Macaca fascicularis: one gene and its partner. The protein of the gene in region 1 interacts with the protein of each later gene in a biochemical or structural test. Links are inferred from orthologs where the notes say so. Each region holds a gene or a part of one and is shown on either strand. Other genes may lie near its edges.

Region 1 (6,021 bases):
GAGCATAACCTTGGATGAGCTGGCTTTCTTCTGCTTAGGCAACTCCTGAAGGGTTCTGACAGCTGAGGGCCATCTTTTAGCAGCACTCTCCGCAACTGGAAAATAAATCCTTCATTTTTGAAGAGAGTTCTGGGCTTTGCATCACAGCATCCAGCACAGGGGTGAAGGATCATAGGGGAGTAAGGCATCAATAATAATTCCTAAATTTCTGATATGTACATCCCGATGGGTGCACTTAACGACCGTATATTACAATCATTGGCTTACTTGGGAAAATCCCCACTAGAGTAGGTGCTACTCAGGGGCAAACTATATTGGACAACTAATGCACACCCCTAGAACTGGCATAGTTTGCTAATTAAGTGAATGTTCATCTACTTCTATTTTCACTCCCCTCTCCCTTATGTCCTTTGCTCCCTTCCCTCCTCATCGTACTGCCATCCAATGTGGGAAAACTTGAGCAGGTTATCTGAGGCCTCACCTGCGCTGGAGTTGAACAAATAGGAAATCAAGCTCGTCTGGTCCAGGCTCTCTGATGGGCAAGACAGGCAGTGCCAGGAGGAAGGGAAGGAGGGGCAGTTGACGACATCTCAGGCATAAACTGTCTTTCAACTCTCTTTCAATGCTTCAGCCCCTATAAACTCAGAGCTGGCTGAACCAGGTCCTCTCCAAAAGATTGATTGGATAAAGGCCTGCTGAATCCCCCATAAAGCCAGACTCCATTCTCTAATTTGCTCTTCCACTGATGCCCGCCCCCCACCTCTTACAGCTACTGCTGGGGGTCAAAAGACAGAATTTCACATCGTATTGGAGTTCATCTGGAATCTGAAGAATGGATAGGAATCTGGAGATAGGAATCTGGGGAAGAAAAGGAATGGATAGGAGAATGCATAAGGAGCAGGGCTGAAATAGTAGAAGAGGCAAATCCTGCCCTGAGAAGATGAACCCAGTTCAGTCCTGCACCCTTCAGCCCTGTTCCCGCTGCACCCCAGTGACCCAGTCCCCTTCCAGCCCCCACTCGTGGGAACCTGACACCCTACACAGGCAGCTCTGCCTGCACTGAGAGTAAACAGGGAGCCGTTAGCGTGTCGGGTGGGCGTGGGCGCTGCCTGGAGACGGTGGAGAAAGCCAACCGTCTCCTCCTCTTTTGTCTGCGCTGGGCCGGCGTTAGAATTATATCCCATCTTCACGTTACTCGGGTTTATCCTTGTCAGCTCTTGCCACCACCCCCAACTGCCCTCAACACCCAAGTCAGAAGCTGCCTCCCGGGAGCCCTTTCCCCTGGCAAGCCTCCCCTGGAGCCAAATCCTGGCCCCACCCCCACTCCCGCCCAGCTGTGGAGGGCTCCTTGGGAACCTTAAGTGGAAGCCTGAGTGTTGAGCCTCCGATAGGAGGTGAAGGTTGCGGAGACAGATGCAGGAGCTACCCTAGTCCCGCAGCGAGGAGCTGCAGGGAACTACGGTAGCAATAGTGTCACGGTCACTGCGGTCACTGCAACACAGTACCATAAATGCGGCTCTAGGTGCAGACTAAAGCATCCGCGCCTCAGCAGGTGACGCACGCAGACCCGGTCTCCAACGCCACCTCCACGTTCCCTGATACACCAGAGAAAGATGTTGGATCCGTGGCAGCCGTCTCTACCCAACGCCTCCTACCCTCCCTTCCCCAAAACCTCCCGCTACGCTGCCAATACTCTTGTCTTCTCTCTCTCTCTCTCTCTCTCTCTCTCTCTCTCTCTCTCTCTCTTTCTTTCTCTCTCTCTCTCTCTCTCTCTCTCTGTCATTCCGGGGAATCGAGGGTGGGGGCGGGTGATAAAGAGAGGTGGGCAGGAGAGAAATCTCTAAGAGGAGACAGGACAGATCTAGGGAGGGGGCGAGCCTGGAGGACAGTCGCACAGGGAGGGGCAGAACTCCCGAGCCCGGGAGGGGGTGCACAGTCACCTGGTGGGACAGAGGCTGGCGGAGGGACGGGAACCGAGGCGGGGTGAGCCGCGGGAGAGTGGAAGGGCAGGCGCCTGGGCTGGGGGCGGAGACCAGGGGGGGCAGGGAGGCGGGGAAGGAGGGCGGTGGGAGCCTGAGCCCATCGCAGCGTGAGCAGGTGGAGCCGCGGTGGGAGCCCGCCAGGCCGAGCAGAGTAAGGCGGCGGGCTCCGCCGGGGCCATGGAGCTGCTAAAGCTGAATCGGAGCGTGCAGGGAACCGGACCCGGGCCGGGGGCTTCCCTGTGCCGCCCGGCGGCGCCTCTCCTCAACAGCAGCAGTGTGGGCAACCTCAGCTGCGAGCCCCCTCGCATTCGCGGAGCCGGGACACGAGGTGGGTGCCCCCCTCATCCCCCTCCACAAGCTCTTTCTCACTGTACCCCAGAACACTAATAGAGTCCCCCCACGAGCTCCACACTATCTCCTCAAACGCCCACACCGTGCCCCTCAGCCCCCAAACAGCTCCTCTCACACCTTCACCCCCACAGCTCACAGGTTCATAGCTTCACACCACCTGGTCGGAACTCCTTCACATCCTGGTCCCCTGATTACACCCAGAGCCGCTGCTTGCCCCAAAGCACAGCCCCTTCCCCAACACGCAGCCCCTCCTAGACACCAGTTAGAAGGCGAGGAGCTCCTCTTGCCAACCCTGCAGATCTCCTTTTCCCTCTTACATCCAGTTCACAAAGCCACAACAGAGAAGGGAAGGAAGAAAGGAAGGCAGGATTGGGAAAAGAAGGGGGCTGGTTGAGGGAGGGAGCACTCTGGAAAGCTTGAATGGGAAACCGAAGATGTGATCACATCTGACACCTCAGCCCCCAGGCATCCCAAAAAAAGATCCTCAAATCTGATTTAGGCTGGACACTAGGAGATGCCCCTTAAAACTGCCTGTCTCCATTTCACTCCTCAAACCCCTCTGCCTCCCTAGTTGGAGCTTTCAAGGCTCTGTGCCCTCTCTCTTTGTCTGCAAGTAATGTCTCCAGCTATCTTCCAAGCTCCCTCTTCAGCCCTAGACTAGGTGCTGGGGGTACAAGGCAAACTAGACCCAGTCTGGTCCCTCATGACCCATAGCCAAGTGCAGAGAGAAAAAAGCAAATGGAAAAATCACAGACACAGTGGAAATCCCATGAAAAGGTTTAAACTGTGGGCACCAAAAGAACTTCACAGAGGCTAGAATCTTGGAGCTGGGTCTTGAAGTTGAGTGGGCAGAAAAGGAAGGATGGGATTCTAGTGAAGGAAATAAATTTTTCTAAACTTGAGAAGGGAAAGTTGGAATAAATTGTAATCCAAGTATTTACCCCATGAAATAATCTATGCTTTCTCAGCCCATTTGTTACACACTCACACTTGGATTTGTCATTCAGCCAATATTTATTGAACCAGAGATTGTGCTAGGCAGTGGGAATGTAAGTTGAACAAAACTGACACAATTCCTACTTCACAGAGCTCAAAGCTTAATGGGTGAGACAGACAAGCAGGGGATAGAAGCACAAAGTGGAAGAGCCTTGATAGGGAAAAGATAGTGGGAACACAAGTGGAGCACCTCTAGCCCAGCCTAGCCTCCGTGAGAATTAAGGTTGGCCTCTTAAGGAAATGAGATACAGAGTGAAAAAAATTAGGGAGATTGGCTCTAAGCTTCCTGTTGGAAAAAAAAGAAAAGTGTGTGTGTGTGTGTGTGTGTGTGTGTGTGTGTGTGTGTGTGTGTGTATGTGTGTGTGTGTATATATATATATATATATATATATATATATATGAGAGTCAGTCAAGTAAACAGGCAGAAGAGGCAGAAAGCATCCCAAATAAAAGATGTATAAAAAGCTCCAAGTTTGAATTCATGGCACTTTTATCCACTGTGACATAGTTTTGAGTGGCTACAACATATATCTTAAGAAGGGAATAATGAACAGGCTGGAGACCAGCCTAGAGAGTTTGCAGAGAGCCTATTAGACCTGACCATGGAATGTGGACTTTATCCTGAGGGCAATAGGAACTACTAAAAGATTCAGTAGCACTACCAGGATTAGTTCTATAATGTGGAGAATGGATTGGAAGACATGAGATGGAAGGCAGGGGGGTACTTTAGAAGGTTACTATATTACACTGGTTTAAGTGAAAGATGATGCCAGCTGAGACTACGGTAATGGCAAGGGGGACAGAGAGAGGTGTATAGATTTGAGAGCCTTTTCTGGAAATGGAATCAACAGATTAGAAGCAGAGAGGATGGAAGAGGTCAAGGGATGACATTCAGATTTCTAACTTGGACAATTGAATGGATATTGGTGCTATAGCAATTGTATACAATGAGCAAGATAACAAAACAGCAGAAATAGGTTTGGAAGAAGGAATTATGAATTCAGTTTGGAACCCATTGAGTCTAAATGTTAGTGGGATCATCCAGGTGAGGTTACCTAGTAAGCTATTGAATCCAGGGGTCTGGAACTTACAGGAGAGGTCTGAGGTGGAAATACAGACTTGAAGGTATTTGCCTACAGGAGGTAGAAGCCATGAGAATAGTTAAAATCATAATATTTTGTATAGAACGAGAAGAAAATAAGTCCTGGGTCAAGACTCTGCATAAGACCATTATTTAAAACCCAGGCAGAGAAAGGAGAATTTATGAAGGAGATTCAGATGAAACCGTCAGAAAGGCAGGAGCTATGCCCTTCCAGAAAGCAAGAAAAAGAGAGTTTCAAGCAGGTTGGGGTAAGCGATGTCAAATGCTATTGATGTAAGTTAGATAAATAAAAAACAGGACAGTCAGAACAGCATCTTTCAGATTCAGTAACAAGAAAATATTTAGGAGTTGTAGGTATTGAGGCTTGACTATAGTAAGTTGAAGATTGGGCTGGTGGGAGAGGGAGTTATGAGAAGTGAACCAGGGTATATAGCCAAAACTTTCAAATGTTTGGTAGAGAGAGAGAAAGAGAGAGAGAGAGAGAGAGAAAACCAGGATATTGCCAAAAATAGCATGAGATTGAGGCAGCTGGGTTGGGGTAGGGGGGCGGGTATATGTGTAGGTTTGTTGTGTGTGCGTGCACACATTTTAAAACAAGAGCTTTTAAAAGTGTTTGATGTTGATTGGGCCAAGAGAGGAAGATTGAAGGTGCAGATAAGAAAGGGGATAGTCAATAGAGAAGAGTCCCTGTGAAAGCGGGATGTGAAGCAATTCAGAGCACAGGTGCAAAAATTTGCCTCACTTATCTAAATGCTTCTCACACATTCGGATATTACCCAGCCAGTCAGATGTTACACACAGAGACCCTGTCAGCCACACTCACTCAGATATTATCCCCACAGATGCATATGTTACCCAGGTTCACTCCAATGTTACCAATAGAAATTTGGATGTTACCACTTTATTCTTCTTATATAATCCATGCAGACTTGAGTATTACCCATGTTCACTCAGATAGTACCCACAGAAAGACAAATGTTACCACACTCACTTTAATATTGTCCGAAGTCATTTTGGTGTTACCCATCCATCAAACACTACTCACTTTCATTTTATTATTATCCACACACAATCAGATATTATCTATGCTCACTTAAGTAAGCTTTCCCCAGATACTACCCATAAAATTACAAATATTACTCTCACAGATAATATTACAGATAATACCCACAAAGGCTTAAATATTACTTACATTCACTCAGGTGCTCAGTTATTTCACTTATTCAGATTAACATCTTTTTTTTTTTTTTTTTTTTTTTGAGACAGTCTCCCTCTGTTGCCCAGGCTGGGGTGCAGTAGCATGATCACGGCTCACTGCAGCCTTGACCTCCACAGGCTCAGGTGATCCTCCCACCTCAACCCCCTGAGTAGCTGGAACTACAGGCATGTGCCACCACAAGTGGCTAATTTTTTGTATTTTTTGTAGAGATAGGGTTTTTCCATGTTACCCAGGCTGGTCTCTAAATGCTTGACTTAACAGATCTGCCAACCTCAGCCTTCCAAAGTGCTGGGATTACAGATATGAGCCACCATGTCTGGCCCAGATTAACATCTTAATTTAGTTTAACATGCTAACATCTATCCATACTC
Region 2 (6,151 bases), on another chromosome or scaffold:
AACATTTCTCCAAGATTTCCTCCTACCATCTCCACTCCATAGTCCCCAAATATCAGAATTGTTGGGAGGTGTTTGTCCACTTGTTTGCTTCTGCTCCCCTATTGTATTGTCAGCTCTTGTTCATACTGAATCCCTGGGACCCAACACAAAGTAAGTGTTGAATAAACATGAATTACATGGACCAAGGGCCGGGAGTTGAGTAACTGGTATAAGGTAGGGAATTTCTATAGAAATGGTCTCAAAGTGTGCTTGGTGGACCAGCATTTTCAGTATGGCCAGGGAACTTGTTAGAAATGTGGATTCTTGGTGGGGCGCAGTGGCTCACACCTATAATCCCAGCATTTTGGGAGGCTGAGGTGGGTGGATCACCTGAGTTCAGAAGTTCGAGACCAACCTGGCCACTGGGGAGGCTGAGGCAGGAGAATCTTTTGAACCCAGGAGGCAGAGGTTGCAGTGAGCCGAGATGATGCCACTGTACTCCAGCCTGGGTGACAGAATGAGACTCTGTCTGAATGAAGGAAGGAAAAGAAAGAAAGAAAGAAAGAAAGAGAGAGAGAGAGAGAGAGAGAGAGAGAGAGAAAGAAAGAAAGAAAGAAAGAAAGAAAGAAAGAAAGAAAGAAAGAAAGAAAGAAAGAAAGAAAGAAAGGAAGGAAGGAAGGAAGGAAGGAGAAAGAAAGAAAGAGAAAGAAAGAGAGAGAGAGGAAAAGAGGGAAAGAGGGATAGAGGAAAAGAGGGAAAGAGAGAGAGGAAGGGAGGGAAGGAGGGAGGGAGGGAGGAAAGGAGGAAGGAAGGAAGGAAGGAAGGAAGGAAGGAAGGAAGGAAGGAAGGAAGGAAGGAAGGAAGGAAGGAAAGAAGAAACGAATTCAGATTATTGGGCCCTTCCTCAAGCCCGCTGAATTAGAAGTTCTGGGGATATTTTGATAACAAGGTTATGTTTTCAAATATGTCTTGCCACAGTCACAAATAAGACTAGTTTTCCCAACTGAACTACGAAAACCTTAGCAGGCTCGTGGGGAAACCACTGGAAATCATTTAATCAGCTCTTTCAAACATATTGCCCATAAGTTGCAGAAACGCAGCTGCCTCTCAGGATTAGAAGGTGGAGCAGCAACCGGAGGTGTCTCCGGGCCGCCCCCCGCCCCACCTTCCCTACCCCCGCCTCACCCACTCGACCCCCACACTGTCATCGCCACAGTCCCTCCACTCCAGAGGGAATTCCAGAGCGGAATACGGATTCCGATTTTAAAATAAGCGCTTCTAAATCTTTCTCCTTCCCTCTAAGACGAATGAGGGAAAGAAAGGGAGAGGAGTTGAGGTCCCAAGGTTCAGGGATGCCTGGTGATCTCCAGGTCCCAGGCTGGGCTGCCTCGGTGCACGGAGAGGGCGAGGGGCGCATTGTGGAGCCTTGGCAAGCGCTGCTCTTCCTCGATCCTCGGTTTGCGGTCTGTGAAATGGGTTTCGCAGTGCCTTTGCGGGGACGTCGCGAACTCAAGCGCCAGCAAGCCGATTCGAACTCAAAGGGCTTCAGGGTGTAGACGACCACCGCGCACTGAGGGACTACGGGTCGGCCCGCTCCGGAGCCAGGAGAGTAACCGCGCGCAGGGAAAGGCGCACTGCAGCCTTGGTGCCTCCCTTCCCTCCACCGGACGGGTGAGTGACGACGGGCGAGGTCCTCATCTCCTGGCTGCGCAGCTGAGTTCTGGCAGGTACGGTCCTAGGGGTGTGAGTGTGTGGGCCCTCCGGAAAGGTGGGAGGGGCGAATGCCGTGGTCTACCCAAGCTTGCAGGGGTGCGGTGGGCAAGTTCCCCAGGACCCTCGCTGGCGCCGCTTGTCGGCAGCTGGGAACAGTGGGCGCCGCGGGTGGCGGTAAGTTGGCCAGGGAAGGAAACACATCGCTTTCCCAAGCCGGATTCCTCTGAGCAAAGCCAGATGGTGTCATCCCCATTTTACAGCTGCGTAAAGAAAGTCCCAGAACACCAACAGCCAGCTGTGGCCGGAGCCCTTTCACTGACCCGGAACACTAGCTCTCAGAAACCTGGAGAACTGCGAGGGCTTTTAATGCGGCTGAGAAGAAAGTAAAGACCCCGACTCCTCTCCTTCGAAAGAGCCCACACAAGTATGAAGACCAGTGCCTCGGACGCTCCGGGGTAGGGGGGCCCACGCCCCATCCCTCTCAGAATCGCGCCTTACTGACGCTCAGTCCCGCCCAGTGTCCACCCCCCACCCCCGCCCCAGTTTCCTTTCTGGACCCTCCGGTCCCCAAAGCGAACTAAGCTAGCGGCAGCTTCTCCATCCCAGGGAAGACTCCAAACTCCTAGGTTTCCCACCTTGGAGAGCACTGCTCTGGAATGCGCAGGGGAGCGGCAGCTGGAAAGGGTTGGAAGGAAGCTTCTCGGACCCAGAGGGGGACAGACACCGGGCCCAGCCAGGGAGGGGTTAAATCCGCCCCACTGGACCACCTCCCCCTCTCCCCCAGGAGCCACTTCAACCGGTTGTCGTCCCAGTGGCCACCCTCTGAGCACGTGTTGCTGCCAGTCTGCGTCAGCGCTGGGTAAATACATGACTGGGCGACGCCGCCGGGCGGGGCTATTTAAGAGGCAGCCGCCCTCTGGTCCTCCCTGAACTTGGCTCAGCTGCCGGGCTGCTCCGGTTGGAAACGCCAAGCCAGCTGCGTTCTAATCCAAAAGGTAGGTCCCTCGGTTCGTCAGCGGGGGATCCAAGTGTCGTGTGTCTTTGAAGAATGCTGTCGTCAGCTTTGTGCCCATTTCCATTTTGCTTTTCTATTTTCTGTGTCTTTCCTCCGAGAGCTCGAAAGACATTTCTTGAAGTCAGAAACAACGGTTCCGGGTCTAAAAGTGAGGTCTGGGTAGGTAGAGCTGCTTTAGAGGCTTTCACGCGCCGGCATACCCATTCGCTAAGATTCGCATGCAGATTGAGATTTGCTAGCTGTTACACAGCGGTGCTGGGGACGTTGCAATATTTTCTAATAAAATACCAGAGGGTTTTAAGATTCAAATTCATTTTCTAAATACTGCAGAAAATTTCGAGGCTTTACGGATAGAAATGTGAGGGTGTTTTATCCACTAGCGATCTAAAATGCACGGGGCTTTGGAAGCCTGAGTGCTGGGCACCTATTTCTGATTTTAAAACCTGCCTATGTTTTGCGTAGTGGCTTATTGCCATTTCCCACCTACACTTTGAGAAAACTTTATAAATACGGCTTTATTTATTGCTCCTACATTTTAAACTGTGCTTCTCTTTTTCGTCATTTACTGTATTTCCATATTGAAAGCTTGTTAGCTATCTGGAAAGGTGCTTTCCCTAGGGTTCTCATTTCTCCCACGGAGTCTTCCCTTTAGGATATTTTTTTCACACTATTTTTAATCTCGTGGGGTTTTATTTTTCTTCTTTCAGTTAGAAGAGAGGCACTCTGCAAACACTTCCTCAAACTTTAGGGAAGCAGAAAACATTCCTTCTGCTCAACACGGCAAAAAACAGGGTCTCTGTCTGCCCCTCGGCACTGGGTGTGGAGTTCCCAAAGACCAGCCGTGTGCGCCCGGGGGCGCGCGCCATGGCACTCGACTTGAGCCCTCGTGCTTGTGGCGGCCTGGGGAGTCTGGAGCACCTGTGTTTGTCCTAAGCCGGTTTCTGGGTGCCCTGCCCGCCGCAGGAGCTCTCGGATGCCCAGCCTTTCCGTTAACGCCCCTTCCTCCTTTGCTCCCTACAGCCATGAACAGCGGCGTGCGCCTGTGCGTACTGATGGCGGTACTGGCGGCTGGCGCCCTGACGCAGCCGGTGCCTCCCGCAGAGCCCGCGGGCTCCGGGCTGCAGCGGGCAGAGGAGGCGCCCCGTAGGCAGCTGAGGGCAGTGCAGAGAACGGACGGGGAGTCCCGAGCGCACCTGGGCGCGCTGCTGGCAAGATACATCCAGCAGGCCAGGAAAGGTAAGAATGCTGCCTCCCCATCCCTCACTTCTGCCCTTGTTCCCAGGCTCTGGATGCTGACCCTCTTCTCTAGCGCCGGCCTAATGAAGATGACCTCTCTCGGTAGGAAACAAGCAACATGGTTTCTGGCCGTCCTTTGTAGCAATCTGAGAAGGGGTATGGAGGACTTAATTTATAAGTAAGGGGACCCTTCTTGAAAAGCTTTCTTTGAACTAATTTTTAGCAATGTTGCTGATTAAGTTCAACACCATTTTACCAAGCCATTAAAAGATAATTATTGAACCCTAGGAAAGGGTTCCTAGATACACTAAATACCCTCTACTAAAAACGCAAAGAACCTGGGAGCCACCCAGATACCAACCCTTGGAAATCCTCTAGCAGGAAGGCGTCAATGCTGAGAATGCCTGAGATCTGGCTACAACAGTTTAAGAAAGCAGTGACAATGTGTCCATCTCCACCAAACCATGTAACAGAAGGAAAGAATCAGCAGCAGTTTTGTGTTCTCCTTGCAATGACTTACACATGATTACCCAACAAGAGAGGTATTTGTTTTTACTTTACTGTCGCAGAGATGGTCACAGTTATAGCAAGAGCTGAGCAAGTCATTTTTCTCAGCATCAAAGTCTTTCTCCAGGAATAAGGTGATTCAGCCCCTCACTAGCTGAGTGGCATGCAGGCAGTCCTGACCTGAGGCTAGCTTTCCCCTAAGCTCCTTCCAATTCTTTGTGTGATTCAGAGGGAGGCCCATTCATCTCTTGTGACCCATAGGAATCATGCTTTGGATTGCGGCAGCTTTTTTCTGCCAACTTTATCCCCAGTGGCACTAATAATGAACACTGGCTGTGGAGGAGTGTGCTGAACAGTACAAACACAGCTGGACATTAAAATAATTCAGCAGGCCAGGAGCAGTGGCTCACGCTTGTAATCCCAGCACTTTGGGAGGCCGAGGCAGGTGGATCACATGAGGTCAGGAGTTCGAGACCAGCCTGATCAACATGATGAAACCCCATCTCTACTAAAAATACAAAATTAGCTGGTTATGATGGCACATGTTTGCAATCCCAGCTACATGGGAGGCTGAGGCGGGAGAGTAGCTTGAACCTGGGAGGTGGAGGTTGCAGTGAGCCGAGATTGCACCATTGCACTCTTACCCAACAGGTGTTCCAGGGCCTGGATTTGAACCTTAACCCCTGGCTTGACCAGAAAGGGATAAGATGAAGAGCTTTGGCTCTGCAGAGTTCTCCTGTGGGCTCACATGAAGGGAAGACTGGAACTCTTTGACCCAGAGGCTTCAGAAGGAAAGAACAAATCAGTGATTTGTTGTATTTCTTCCTGTCTTTGGGAAATTGCCCCACCCACTACCTTCTGTTTTGCTTTCCTACTAATTAAATTGAAGAAGATAGAAATACTTATCACATGGAGAGAGAAAGTCTGAAAGCTTTTGAGTTCCTGCTGATTTTCTGCCTGAAAATAATTTAGTGTCTGTCCCCAGATACAGGCTGAATTTCAGCCAGACAAGTCTGAAATATCCTAGGCTTTTCATTGATCTGTGGATCTGGAACTCCCCTCCCCCAATTTGGGAAAGACCCTGTTTTTCTTCTATGTAGGCTGAGGATATCTGCAAAAAGGCCTGAAATGTGCTGAATTGACTCTTGGTTCCAAAATTGTTCTAGGAAAAAAAAAAAAAAACAACTCATTACCACATTATTTCCTAGAACCAATACTAGACAATGGCTCTTAAAGCATAAACCTTAGCTGGAAAGTTTTTCTAGTCCTTCTTCTCAGCCCCCCTCTCCCTTTGCCTTCAGCCAATTGTGCCAAACAAACCCAGGAGAAAATAGCAATCACTTGGAAATTTAGATGCCAACACCTAGGATCAACGCTAGCTAAAAAACAACCAAACTCTTCTATGTGACAAACATGAACTAGGAATAAATACTCACACTATAGAAACTGCACGGTTTCTTTGAATATTTTACATATTTCGAAATCACATCAGATTTTTGCTCCACTATAGTATATATTATGCTTAAATGTTCTAAACAAGACAATGCATTCTTTGAGCAGTGCTTAAGAGTTTATCATTAGGAAATATCTGCAGCACTTTCAATGGCCCAAGAAGAAACAATTCTATTGGAGGGCAGTGGGTAAAGATACCTAGAGGCATTTAGTGGACACCTCCCCCATGCCCAGCAAAGCTTCAATGCT

What was found.
Region 2: the proteins of CCKBR (region 1) and CCK form a complex in vitro, tested with the Homo sapiens proteins (3 studies listed by BioGRID). The link is inferred for Macaca fascicularis from reciprocal best matches to the Homo sapiens genes CCKBR and CCK.

Annotation. Positions count from the first base shown.
Region 1 is NC_088388.1:59,821,724-59,827,744, reverse strand, and holds the start of CCKBR (gastrin/cholecystokinin type B receptor), read left to right. Parts: upstream 1-1,950; 5' UTR 1,951-2,159; coding exon 2,160-2,310; intron 2,311-6,021. UniProt on the Homo sapiens protein: Receptor for gastrin and cholecystokinin. The CCK-B receptors occur throughout the central nervous system where they modulate anxiety, analgesia, arousal, and neuroleptic activity.
Region 2 is NC_088376.1:105,094,094-105,100,244, reverse strand, and holds the start of CCK (cholecystokinin), read left to right. Parts: upstream 1-2,620; 5' UTR 2,621-2,687; intron 2,688-2,805; exon of another isoform or gene 2,806-2,866; intron 2,867-3,727; 5' UTR 3,728-3,729; coding exon 3,730-3,943; intron 3,944-6,151. UniProt on the Homo sapiens protein: This peptide hormone induces gall bladder contraction and the release of pancreatic enzymes in the gut. Its function in the brain is not clear.